3 linked regions of the Oryctolagus cuniculus genome follow. The protein of the gene in region 2 interacts with the protein of the main gene of each other region in a pairwise test. Links are inferred from orthologs where the notes say so. Each region holds a gene or a part of one and is shown on either strand. Other genes may lie near its edges.

Evidence for each region.
Region 1: the proteins of FHL5 (region 2) and CREM interact in a two-hybrid assay, tested with the Homo sapiens proteins (2 studies listed by BioGRID). The link is inferred for Oryctolagus cuniculus from reciprocal best matches to the Homo sapiens genes FHL5 and CREM.
Region 3: the proteins of FHL5 (region 2) and ATOSB interact in binary tests that used the Homo sapiens proteins (3 or more experiments, as listed by UniProt). The two-hybrid records come from large-scale screens. The link is inferred for Oryctolagus cuniculus from reciprocal best matches to the Homo sapiens genes FHL5 and ATOSB.

Annotation. Positions count from the first base shown.
Region 1 is NC_091444.1:107,394,129-107,397,875, forward strand, and holds the start of CREM (cAMP-responsive element modulator), read right to left. Parts: upstream 2,798-3,747; 5' UTR 2,682-2,797; coding exon of another isoform or gene 1,563-2,681; intron 1-1,562. Other genes in the region: uncharacterized protein, read left to right, coding at 1,563-2,681.
Region 2 is NC_091436.1:75,505,729-75,509,375, forward strand, and holds part of FHL5 (four and a half LIM domains protein 5), read right to left. Parts: intron 579-3,647; coding exon 392-578; intron 1-391. UniProt on the Homo sapiens protein: May be involved in the regulation of spermatogenesis. Stimulates CREM transcriptional activity in a phosphorylation-independent manner.
Region 3 is NC_091432.1:198,079,038-198,082,784, forward strand, and holds the start of ATOSB (atos homolog protein B), read right to left. Parts: upstream 2,586-3,747; 5' UTR 2,480-2,585; intron 2,154-2,479; exon of another isoform or gene 2,040-2,153; intron 1-2,039. UniProt on the Homo sapiens protein: Transcription regulator that may syncronize transcriptional and translational programs.

The sequences.
Region 1 (3,747 bases), on a different chromosome or scaffold from region 2:
AAGGAAATATAAATCATTTTCTGTGCTACCCATGAAAAAAAAAAAATAAGGCTCTTTGAGAGTAGGAACAAAACTGCATGACATTTTGTCATTCTAAATTAGCTGATCTAATTTTAGGTCTGCTTTTTATTTTTTAAAACTTCACTGAGATAACTTTGAAGGGAGTTTATCTTATAAACTTTTACTCTCAAGTAAAATACTGAAATCACATTAGCACCACTCTTAAAGTTTCCCAGAGCCTTGCCATGTAGTTGGCCTGGCTGTACTACCGTTGAGAGAACACGCCCCAGGGCTGAGCTGTGGCCTAGCGGGTACAGCTGCCGCCTACAGCGCCGGCACCCATGTGCGCACCAGTTGGAGAGAACGTGCCCGATGATGCTCCCCAGCTGGGGAGAGGGGAGGGGTTTCAGAAACCTTCACAGGAGGGGGCTTCAGGACCAGGCCTGCAGCAGTGGGTCAGCCCACGTCTACACTGGGCAGACACCGGTTCGAGTTCCAGCTGAATCCCTTCCAATCCAGCTCCCCTGACCCCAGTGCTTGGGCCCCTGCACCCACGTGGGACCCAGATGAAGCTCCTGGCTCCCGGTGTGGTCACCTGGGGCCCCGCAAATGGAAGATCTCTCTCTTTAATTCTTTCACATAAATAAATAAATCTAAAAAAAAAAAAAAAAAAAAGAGCTTCTAAAGCTCTCTTAGAGGCAAACACCTCTACTCTCCAATGAGACAGTTATTTAAGCAAAACTCCCGAATAACTCATAGCTTGTACAGTTCCTCTGCTTACAAAAGCAGTTTCACATACGTCTCGCAGACGCGCCCAGGAAAGCCGGCCGTGGGCTCACCTTTCCCTGTGAATGCTACAGCTGAATTACGCCGTAAGACTTATTGTCATGAGGACAGGAACGCGAGCCTTGGGTTTTCCTGTTTGCTTTCTCAGGCGTCAGAGATGCCGTGAGCTCATCTACTGCGGTTTCCACTTTCAATCCCTCCCGTGTCCTCCACAAGGAATCACGAAACGTTCGTCTCTACGCGCGTAAGGACCACGTGTGTTCTCGGAGATGCGCTTTTGCACCGCTGATTTGTGACTCACAAAGCTGCCTCTTACAAGCGGAACCCATCAGTTCAGGGCGCTTCACCGAGTCAGGCATCCCAGGCTTCTCCTTAGGGACGAATGCGGGCCGCGGCCCGGGACAGCAAGGGCTCCGAACCCGCAGCTCCTCGGGGCGGCGCCGGGACACTGGCGAGCTGGCCGCGCGTCCGTGCAGGACCCCGCCCCGGTGCTCACCGCGGGACGCGCTCCGTGCTGTCCACCAAGCGGCCGCAGTGGCCCCGAGCGCAGGCCACTTGGTCCCCACAGAGGAGCCGGAGCAGGTTCAGTCCATCAGCGGGGAACCCGCGCTCACTTTCGGGGCAACACGAAAAACGGACAGAGAAGCGCCCGTGTCGGCGGCCCACGCGTCCATGCGCCCGGCTCCGAGCCACTCCCGGGCCGCCAGGGGCTTCACGCACCGCTGTGCCACGCGCGTTCCTTCCTCTAGGGGAAAAGCAGCTCGCTCCCCCGGAGGATGGAGCCGGGGGTGCAGGCGCGTCCGACCCCCGCCCCGGCGGACCTCAAGTCCGATCCCGTCTCCGCGGACCCTGCGTCCGATCCCCACCTCTCCGGACCCCGCGTCCGACCCTCGCCCGGCGGACCCCAAGTCCGATCCCGCCACTGCGGACCCCTCGTCCGACCCCCGCCCTGGTGGACCCCGCTTCCGATCCCGCCTCTGCGGACCCCTCGTCTAACCCTTGCCCGGCGGACCCCGCGTCCGACCCCGCCTCTGCGGACCCCGCGTCCGATCCCGCCCCGGCGGACCCCAAGTCCGATCCCGTCTCCGCGGACCCTGCGTCCGACCCCCACCTCTCCGGACCCCGCGTCCGACCCCCACTTCTCCGGACCCCGCATCCGACCCTCGCCCGGCGTACCCCAAGTCCGATCCCGCCTCCACGGACCCCTCCTCCGACCCCCGCCCCCGAGGACCCCGCGTCCGACCCCCGCCCCGGTGGACCCCGCGTCCGATCCCGCCCCGGCGGACCTCAAGTCCGACCCCGCCTCTGCGGACCCCGCGTCCGACCCCGCCCCGGCGGACCCCAAGTCCGACCCCCGCCCCGGCGGACCTCAAGTCCGACCCCGCCTCTGCGGACCCCGCGTCCGACCCCGCCCCGGCGGACCCCGCGTCCGACCCCCGGCCCCGGCGGACCCCAAGTCCGACCCCCGGCCCCGGCGGACCCCAAGTCCGACCCCGCCTCCGCGGACCCCGCGTCCGACCCCTGCCCCGGCGGACCTCAAGTCCGATCCCGCCTCCGCGGACCCCAAGTCCGACCCCCACCTCCGCGGACCCCAACTCCGACCCTCGCCGGGCGGCCCGGCGCGACCGGCGGCGGCTGTGGGGACGGAGCCGCCCCGCCGGGGTCCCCTCCGAGCCGCGGGCGTCTCCCGCCGGCCGCGACCGCCTCAGCGCCGCGGCGGTTGGGCGTGGGCGGCGGGGTCCGCGCGGCTCCGAGGGGACCCCCGGGGGGCCTCGGCCGGGCGCCCTGACCCCGGCCCGCCCCGCCTCCGCCTCCGCCCCCTGCGCCGCGGCGCCGGCTCTGGGTCTCGGGCCCGCCCGGCGCGCCACTTACCCGCCGCGACGGCGTTTACGTAGCGGACTCGTCACTGGCTGCGGACGCGAGGCGCCCCCACGTCAGCGCCGAGGCGGCCGCCGCCGCCTCCCCTCCGACACCAACCACAAGTAGCGCCGCGGCCGGCGGCACCGCGCCCCCTCCCCCACTCCGCGACCGCCGCCCGGGGGACGCCCGGCCGAGACCCAGCCTCGAACTCCGCCCCCTGCCGGTCGCCAGCGGGAGTGCGGCGGGACAATCCAACAATTCAATGGAACCCGGGGCCGGGCGGGGCCACGGGGAGAGGGGCGGGGCCAGCGGGGAGGGGCGGGGCCAGCGGGGGAGGGGAGGGGCCGGAAGCGGATGCGCCGCGCGTGCGCCGGAAGCCCGCTGCGTGCAGCCCGCGGGCTGGTGGCCGGCCGAGCCGCTGGACCGAGCCCGTGCTTGGGGCGAGCCCCGCGGGCGCGGCCTGCGGACCTGGGGGCTGTCGGGCGGTCCGGCTTGTTCCCAGCTCCCTCAGCTCGCCCAGGCCGCCGGTCAGTGCGCGGGCACCCACGAGGGCGGGGAGTGGAGCTGCCCTGCCCCGGGAACGCGGCGGTCCGAGGGCCGAGCGACCGCCTTCCGGCAGGGGACTCGAAGAGGCGCGCCGTCCACGGCGAACGGAGCCCCGCGGGGCACGCACGAGGGCCCGCGGGCGAGGACGCGTGGGGAGTCGCGCGGGTGGAGGCCCTGCCGGGGGTGGGCAACGCGGGGCGCTCGGTGGGTTTCCGCCAGCCCCGAGGCCGCGAGTGGCGGGGTCCTGACCTGGCGGTAAGCAGAGGTGAGAGAAAGGGACCTGCTGTGACACCGGCATCCCCTATGGGAGCAGGTTCGAGTCCCGCTGCGCCACTTCCGATCCAGCCCCCTGCTGATGGCCTGGGAAGGCAGAGGAAGGTGGCCCACGTGCTTGGGCCCTGCACCTGCGTGGGAGACCCGGATGGAGTCCCTGGTTCCTGGCTTCGGCCTGGCCCAGCTCTGGCCGTTACAGCCATCTAGGGAGTGAGCCAGCAGGTGGAAGATCCCTCTGTCTCTCCCTCTTTTCTGTGACTCTGATTTTTAAATAAATTAATC
Region 2 (3,647 bases):
CACTCCAGGTTGAGATGCAAGTATCCCAAGTGGCTAGTGTGCTAAACACCAGCTTCCACCCAAATCTTTAAATAAGGCTTAGATTAGGCTTTCTTGTTAAGGTTTTCTCTGATCTGAACTCATTTTGTGCTCTTTTCTTAAACTATCAACTTTATAGATTCTGTACCATTAGGTTTAATATTTAATTCTTCACAGAATATAGCTACCCTTTCCCTGAGAAGTTTATGAAATATTTACATTTATAGATGGGTAGTCATTTGTATTTACCTCAAAAGGAAATGTAAACCAAAGATTCCTCTTTTTTCCACTTGGATTTCTTAAATCAACCGGAGAGTATTTTACAAAATCATAGCGGTCTTGTGTTAGGACCATACTGGACTGAAGAACTTACCAGTAATGGGTTTGGTGCAGGCAGCACATCTTTTGGCATAAAGATGAGTGTAGCAGTCCAAGCAGAACGGATAATCATCTCTAGACATAAACTCTTCTTCACAGAGCTCTTTCCGGCAGCCACTACACAGAAAACACTCTCTATGCCACAGTTGGTCACGAAAAGTTATCCCACCCGAAGTTATCACCTGCCAAAGAACCATAAAATAGGAAATGACCATGGGAGCCACCACAATTCAAAGCACTCTATTCTATGTTTACAATTGATGCTTAGGGCTGCCCCTTTAGAGATGAATAACTACTTAGGATTAAAGTCATTGTTACTTGCTGTAGCCTCAAAGAGCCAGCATTCAAACCTGTGCAATCTAACTCCACAACCTGTGTGTTTAACATTAATACAATGCTGGGTGTCAAGGTTACCTTGCATGAATTATCAATTAATAAGTCATTATTGAATGAATAAGTATCTAGGGGGAAAACATCTTTGGCACACAATTCAAATATCCTATCTAGCACAAATGGAGTGCTGTGAGAAGTTGTGTGTACCTGGCTTCAGAACTCAACATAATGAGCACTGGTTGTATGTTAAGCCTTAAACCGACATGATGGAGTTTTACCAGATTTGATTTTTGGCTCTCCCCAAAATAGGCGTCTTTTCTAAATCAGTTTAAAAGGCTGAGAAATTTTTATGTAGAACCAGATGGATAAATATGGGGCAATTCTTCTCTTGCAGCTATTTTTTAACTTACGCCATCTCTCAAATCCATGGCTATTGAGCTCTTGAAGTGTCTGTGGAAACGGTAACATGCTGATGTAAATGTCTTACAATGACTGAAATAACATTATCTCTGAATTGGTTCCAATAATCTTCATATTCAAATTAGCAAGATACAGACAATGCAGAATCTAATTTAAGTCAACTTATTGTTGACAAACTAAAATGTGTCACTGTCAATGATATAAGCTTTTAACAAAATTATTCAAAAAGATATTTAACCTTACAACAAATGGAAGTTAGACATAGTTAATTTAAAGGTTATTTTTCTTAGAGGAAAAATAGTATACTCTCCTGAGTAAGTAAATGAAAAGCATAGTGGTGTGTGTATGAAGTAAAGCAATTTAAAATACCCCCTACTGACTTCAAATGACTTACAGCAGGCACAGCAGAATTCATGATTCCTTTGATTTGTTTGGTCAAATGATTAGCAGGCAATGTTTAAAAGATTAAAAGCTTGAAAAATATATTCACAGCAAAATAAAACTTGGTATATACACCAAAGACTGTTTAATGAGGAAGAAGAAACTCTGGAACATTAAAAATAGTTTGCGTGTGATTATATTCCTTCTGAAGTGGTAGATGGCTAAGACGAAGTCTAATATCTAAGCTTGGTTTTTTGCCACTGATCAATTCTAGGGTTTAGAACAAGTTTCTTTTAGTGCAAAGTAGAGGCAATAATGTTTTTGTGCTAAGTAGATCACAAACGAAGTTTTGAAGAATACATTTAACTCTAATTGAACCCTGAGGAGTTTGAGTTCAAGGCACTTGTGGTTTGAGGTCACATGCTTTTTAGTAGAAAGTAACTTTTAGGGTAACAAAATAAAATCTATGGGAAAGTGTTCTAAAGGCATGTTATCAAATAGTTTTTACTAATCTTTTTCTTTTAATATTTGATATTTGATTTGGATTGAAAAAATTTTTATCATAGAACATCTTGAACAAAAACATTTTATCTAGCATTCCTTAAAGGACTTGTGGTTGTAAAAATTAAATAGAAAGTAATCTGGCATATCATTATCTTTCTACCACACACAAAAAAATTAATAAGTTTTTGATGATTTAAAATGATATTTTAAATGTAGTTACAAGCTCCCATAACCTGGAAAATGCCAGCACTTTGGCCTAGACTGCTCAGCACTGATATACTAGAGAGTTCTCCTCTTGAGTCCTTACATCATTGAAAGAAACGTCGTACCATGTCCAGTAAATTACTTTAGGATAATTTCCATAATTCTCTTTAATATTTTAGTCTGAATCTTTAAAAAATGATGCCCCAAATCAGTAAATTTGGCTGTCTCCCAGTACAGTGAGATAAATATCCTCAAGTTATTTCAAGCATCTGTTTTAAATGTTTACCATTGACTCTGGTATTCAATTCAATGGAGTTTTGTGAATTACAGGGTCATAAAGTCTGAATGTCATTTATAAAGGTATTTTTAAAGTAAATGTATCTTGTAGAGCAATCAAGGTCTTTGGGTATAAGATGATTTCATATCATATCACATTATCAATTATAATCATCAGCCATCATCACATGTTATTTAATAATTATACTTTAGGAAAGTGTTTTAGTGTTCCTTTAAATGCAGTACTGGTATTGCTCAAACATGTAAACAATTATTTAACATGTGTTTGTACATGCATGTGTATTTGTACATGTACCTCTAGGAAGTGGTGAGGAAATTTCCACTTGCCCAAATGAAAATATACAATTGGTCTTAAGATATCTGCCAAAGTATCCATAGACCAAAAATGTTTATAAACCATTGTACTAATCCCCATGTGTTTTCATGATTCAGCTTTCTTATCACAATTTATAGTGTTGCTTTAAACTTATGATGGCTCACAGGTCACAGATTTCTTCAAGAACATCAATATATATTTTATGAAATACAGACAGGCTTCGTCAAGATGACAGGCGTGAGCTACTGTTTCACATAAAAGCTTAGTGGATAAAAAAGAATTGGACAAAGTTTACTTCAAAAGAATAACTTTTTTCCAGTGGGAAAATGTGTTTTGAATGGAAAACCAAGTTTGAAGGCCCTACATTATCCGGTGGGGCTGGAAGTGAAGTGACTTGCAGCTTTTAGTTCTCTTTCTGCTTTATGTCCATATAACTTCCCTCATAATACTGTTATCTCTTGAGCCTACAGATCTACTCTTTGGAAATACAATAGCTTCAAGCCAGGAAGATATGTGCTTAGCTGGAACATAATGTGAGGAGTTAAACATCCTATTTAAATTGGCTTCCTTTGTCATTCTGTAAAGCAAAGTCACATTTCTCTGAAGTGGTTAACACTGACTGGATCAAAAATTGTATTCCAAGAAATATTCTGCATTCAAAGAGAAATGTGTGCCTTCCTCTAGAACAGATGATATCTTCTATAAAAGCAATGAATGGAGCTAGAATATCAAATCAAGTAAGCTGTTTGGAATATTAAATCATATTCTGGGTGAAATGCTATGGTTGAGAAAAATA
Region 3 (3,747 bases), on a different chromosome or scaffold from region 2:
GTGTGTGTGTTTATAGCAGTTTCTCTCTCACACAAACACACCGGTAAACACAGTTCCTCTCTCCCCTATCAGAAAGCTCCAATGAGAGCATCAGCTTTATCTGTTTTGTTCATGCTCATATTCCCACAGTTAACATCAGTGCCTGGCACATGATAGTTGCTCAATAAACGTCGGTGAAGAAAGCCGTGGGCCTGGGGCTAGCAAAGAGCAGTCTGAAACCTGGATCCCAACTCCTGCTCTTTCACTGTGACTGGGGGAACACAGTCTCCTGGCTCATACATTTCCGAATCTGCAGAATGAGGGGCTTTGGCGGAGGGCCTCGTGGGTCGAATGGCTGCTGTTCACGCACATCCTTTCCAGAGTGGGACGAAGCGTCTCATTGCTCCACTGCTCGAAGAGAAAGGCTACGCACTCCAGCCCCAGCACGGCCAGCGGTGCCCTTCCTCCTCACGCCCCACCCACCCACACAAAACGCCCCAAGTCCGAGGAAGCCAGAGAGAGCCTGCCCTAGGCCCGCCCTCTCTGAGAAACTGTCTGGGAAGCGGTGTTGCCATAGCAATCAGCTCCTCCTCAAAAGGCTTCAGCCTGCCCTCTTTTACCCCACCCTACCCCAGGGCTTTGTCTGGCCTCACCCCCCCCCTCCCTGGCCAGTCAGCCACCGACCTAGCGGCTGTGCGAGGAGGCTGGCTTGGGGCCCCTTACGGCAAGAACAATGTCACACTCATTCAGCAGCGGTGTGGAAACCCAGCCTTTCCCACCCTCTCCTAGGGAAAAGAACCCTGGCACAACACCAAGTGCCCTCTGGGAACCAGAGGCGCCCCCAAGAGGGCTAAGTCTCCCCCACCCCCTTCTGACAGGCAGCTTCCCAGCCCAGAACGAGGGGGAGCCACTACCTCTCCCTCCCTCACAAGCCTCCCCAGGGTTCAGCTCACAATAGTGGCTCACCTCTGAAAACACATCAAAGCCCCTCTCTATGCCCCACCACTCCCCCTCCCAGAGAAACCTAGAGTTTTGGGGGTCCTAGGATTCCCCACCCAGGGGAGGGGAAATGAGTCTGTGGCTACCCATCACTTGGGGGTTTGCTGGGAGAGGCCCTGGGGGCTGGGAGAAGTGGGGAGTGAGCCTTCCTGCTGGTTACCAGGGTCTCTGGTCGTGGAGTACAAAGTCTGGGGCAGGGCACGGTGCCTAGGGCTCCTAGACTGGCAAGGACCAGGCCAGGCCCCAGGGCGAGGAAGGAAGTGGGAAATGAGCACACCCAGAGCGTAAGGGCAGGGCAAAGAGGGGGAGGGGGCAGACAGAGACCAAGACAGGCTTCTGGGAGGAACAGGAACTAGGGTGGGGGGTTGACAGGAACCCAGTGGGTGAAGGGTCCCTAGGGACACCAGCTGGGGAAGAAACCCTGGTCTCAGCTAGACGGATCCTACATTTGCTAGGGGGCAATCACACGAGCCCTGGTGGCAAGTAGGGCCTGGCTCCTTCTCGGAGTGCCCAAGCCAGAAGACTGAGTTAGGAGCCCAGCGGACAGGAACACTTCAGACAGGCAAATTCACCCCACTAATTGCATCAGCCTCACTCCTGGAACACAAAACACAAATGTCTTCCTGGAGTCCCTGCGCTGACCTAGACTGTTACTTTCTCAAAGTAGTGGGGGCTCCCCCCTTCACCCGGGGCCTCCCCCCCCCAGGCCTCCGACCCTCCCACACTCGGGACCACCAGCCCTTCTCCATCGCGCAGCTCCTTTCCCCCAGAGCGCCTCCAAATCCCCTCCCCCTCGCACAGCAACCCCGCCCCCTAACATTGTACCTCCCATCCCCACAAAGCACTCCCGCCCTGCCCCCATAAGGGCCCACGGAGAATGCACCTCCTTGCCCACACATTGAAGCCCTCAACTGCTCCCTCAACTCCGGCTCCCCCTTCAACCTACCCCCCCCTCGGCAGTCTCCGGATTCTCCCATCCCTAATGGTGTCCCTTCTTCCTCACGTCTGCCCCAGCGCACCCCGGTCCTTGGCCCTTCCTCCACGCGCACCCTGCCCCACACCTGTACTTCCGAGGGTCCCGTTGCACTTGAGGATTGGGGCAGTTACGGAGCAGTCCTAGCTGCAGTCTCGGCCCGCAGACCTCGCCCCTTCGGCGCGAGCCCCGCCCCCACAGCGCCCCGGCCCACCCCCTCCCTTGTCCCACCTCCCACCTTCCCCCAGCTGGTCCCCTTTCCCCGCGTCTTTAATTCCTCTGGCTCCGCCTCTGTAGCCCAGGCCCCGCCCCTCTGCTCGCCGTCTTTGCATTTCCCCAGGATCCTCCGCTTTCCCAGGCCCCGCCCCGGGTCCCGCCCCCTCGCGATAGCCCCGCCTCTCTCTGGGACCCGCCCCCTCCGACTCCTGCCCGGCAGAACCCCCGCCAGGCCCTTTTCCACCGCGAGCCCCCTCCCCTCTCAGAGTACTTCCTCCCCCCGCCCCCCGCTCCTTCTCCCGCTCGCTTCACCCGGGCGCCCGCGCTCCAGCCCGGATCCGCTGGCTCTGATTGGCGGCGGCGGCCCCAATGGATGACGGAGGAGACAAAGTGATGGCTGCAGGTCGCCTGAGGTCCCACCCCGGCCACGTGCGGCTTCTGTGATGACAGGTCTGGGGGGCGGGGCCTCGGCCGCCGGGCTGGGAGCCGGAGCTGGCCGGCCCAGGGCTGGGGTGGGGAGCCAGCTCGCCCGGCGTACCTTCTCGAGGCTTCGGCGCTGGGATGAGCCGCCTGAGGAATCCGAGCCTCTCTGTTGGGACGTCTAGGTTAGCAAGTGCCTTTGCCCGAAAGGGACAGGTCTGTGGGGCTGCAAGATAGTGCAAGGAGTCTCAAGGGTCTGTGAAAATGGTGGAGGCCGGGCCGTGGGTTTGGGTGGTTTTGGAGCCCACGCTGGGCAGGAGGGTCAGTGCTCTGGGATGGGCAGTAGGATTCAGTTCCGTGCCTGTGGGACTGGGTCAGCAAGGAGGTCTGCGAATTTTACCAGTGTGAGGGTTGCTGTGAGGTTAAGAGAAGTCTGCAATCACCGGCGAAAAGCGAGGCCTTTGCCCTGTACTGGTGTCGAGGGAACTATGCGACAGTTACACAGGATCTGCAATTTAGTTCGCGCTTGAGTCCTCGCGCATCTGCCCACGGGGAAGTGCCGCAGTTCAGGGCGACGCCTCGCACACGCCGGTAGATGGCAGCACAGGACACTTGCCAAACCACGACCCTGGGCTCCCCAATCCCGGGTCTCTATGAGGAGCTGGTGGCCTGAGTCGGGCCTGAAATTTTCTGGAAGTCTTATAGGTTCTCCGATTTTATTTGATCACTTAAATAGGTTTACTCAATGCCACTGGTGTGTTAGGCACGCACAGAAAAGAGAAAAACAAGCAAACCATTTTCTCTGCCCTTTATTGTTTAGACCGTAATACAAATACTTATATAATCCTAGATAAATTTGAGTGTTATATAGTGGAAAAGATACAGATTTCATAGCCATCTGGGTTGGTCTCCGAACTGTGGGCACTTAAAAAAGCTGTATAGATTCAGGTAGGTTACTTGACTTAATAAAATTTTGGGCTGGCACTGTGGCATAACGGGTAAGGCCGCCACCTGCAGTGTTGGCATCTCATATGGACGTCAGTTCCAGTTCCGGCTTCTGCACTTCCGATCAGGCTCTCTGCTGTGGCCTGGGAAAGCAGTAGAAGATGGCCCAAGTCCTTGGGTCCCTGCATGGCTTCAGATTGACACAGCTCTAGCCC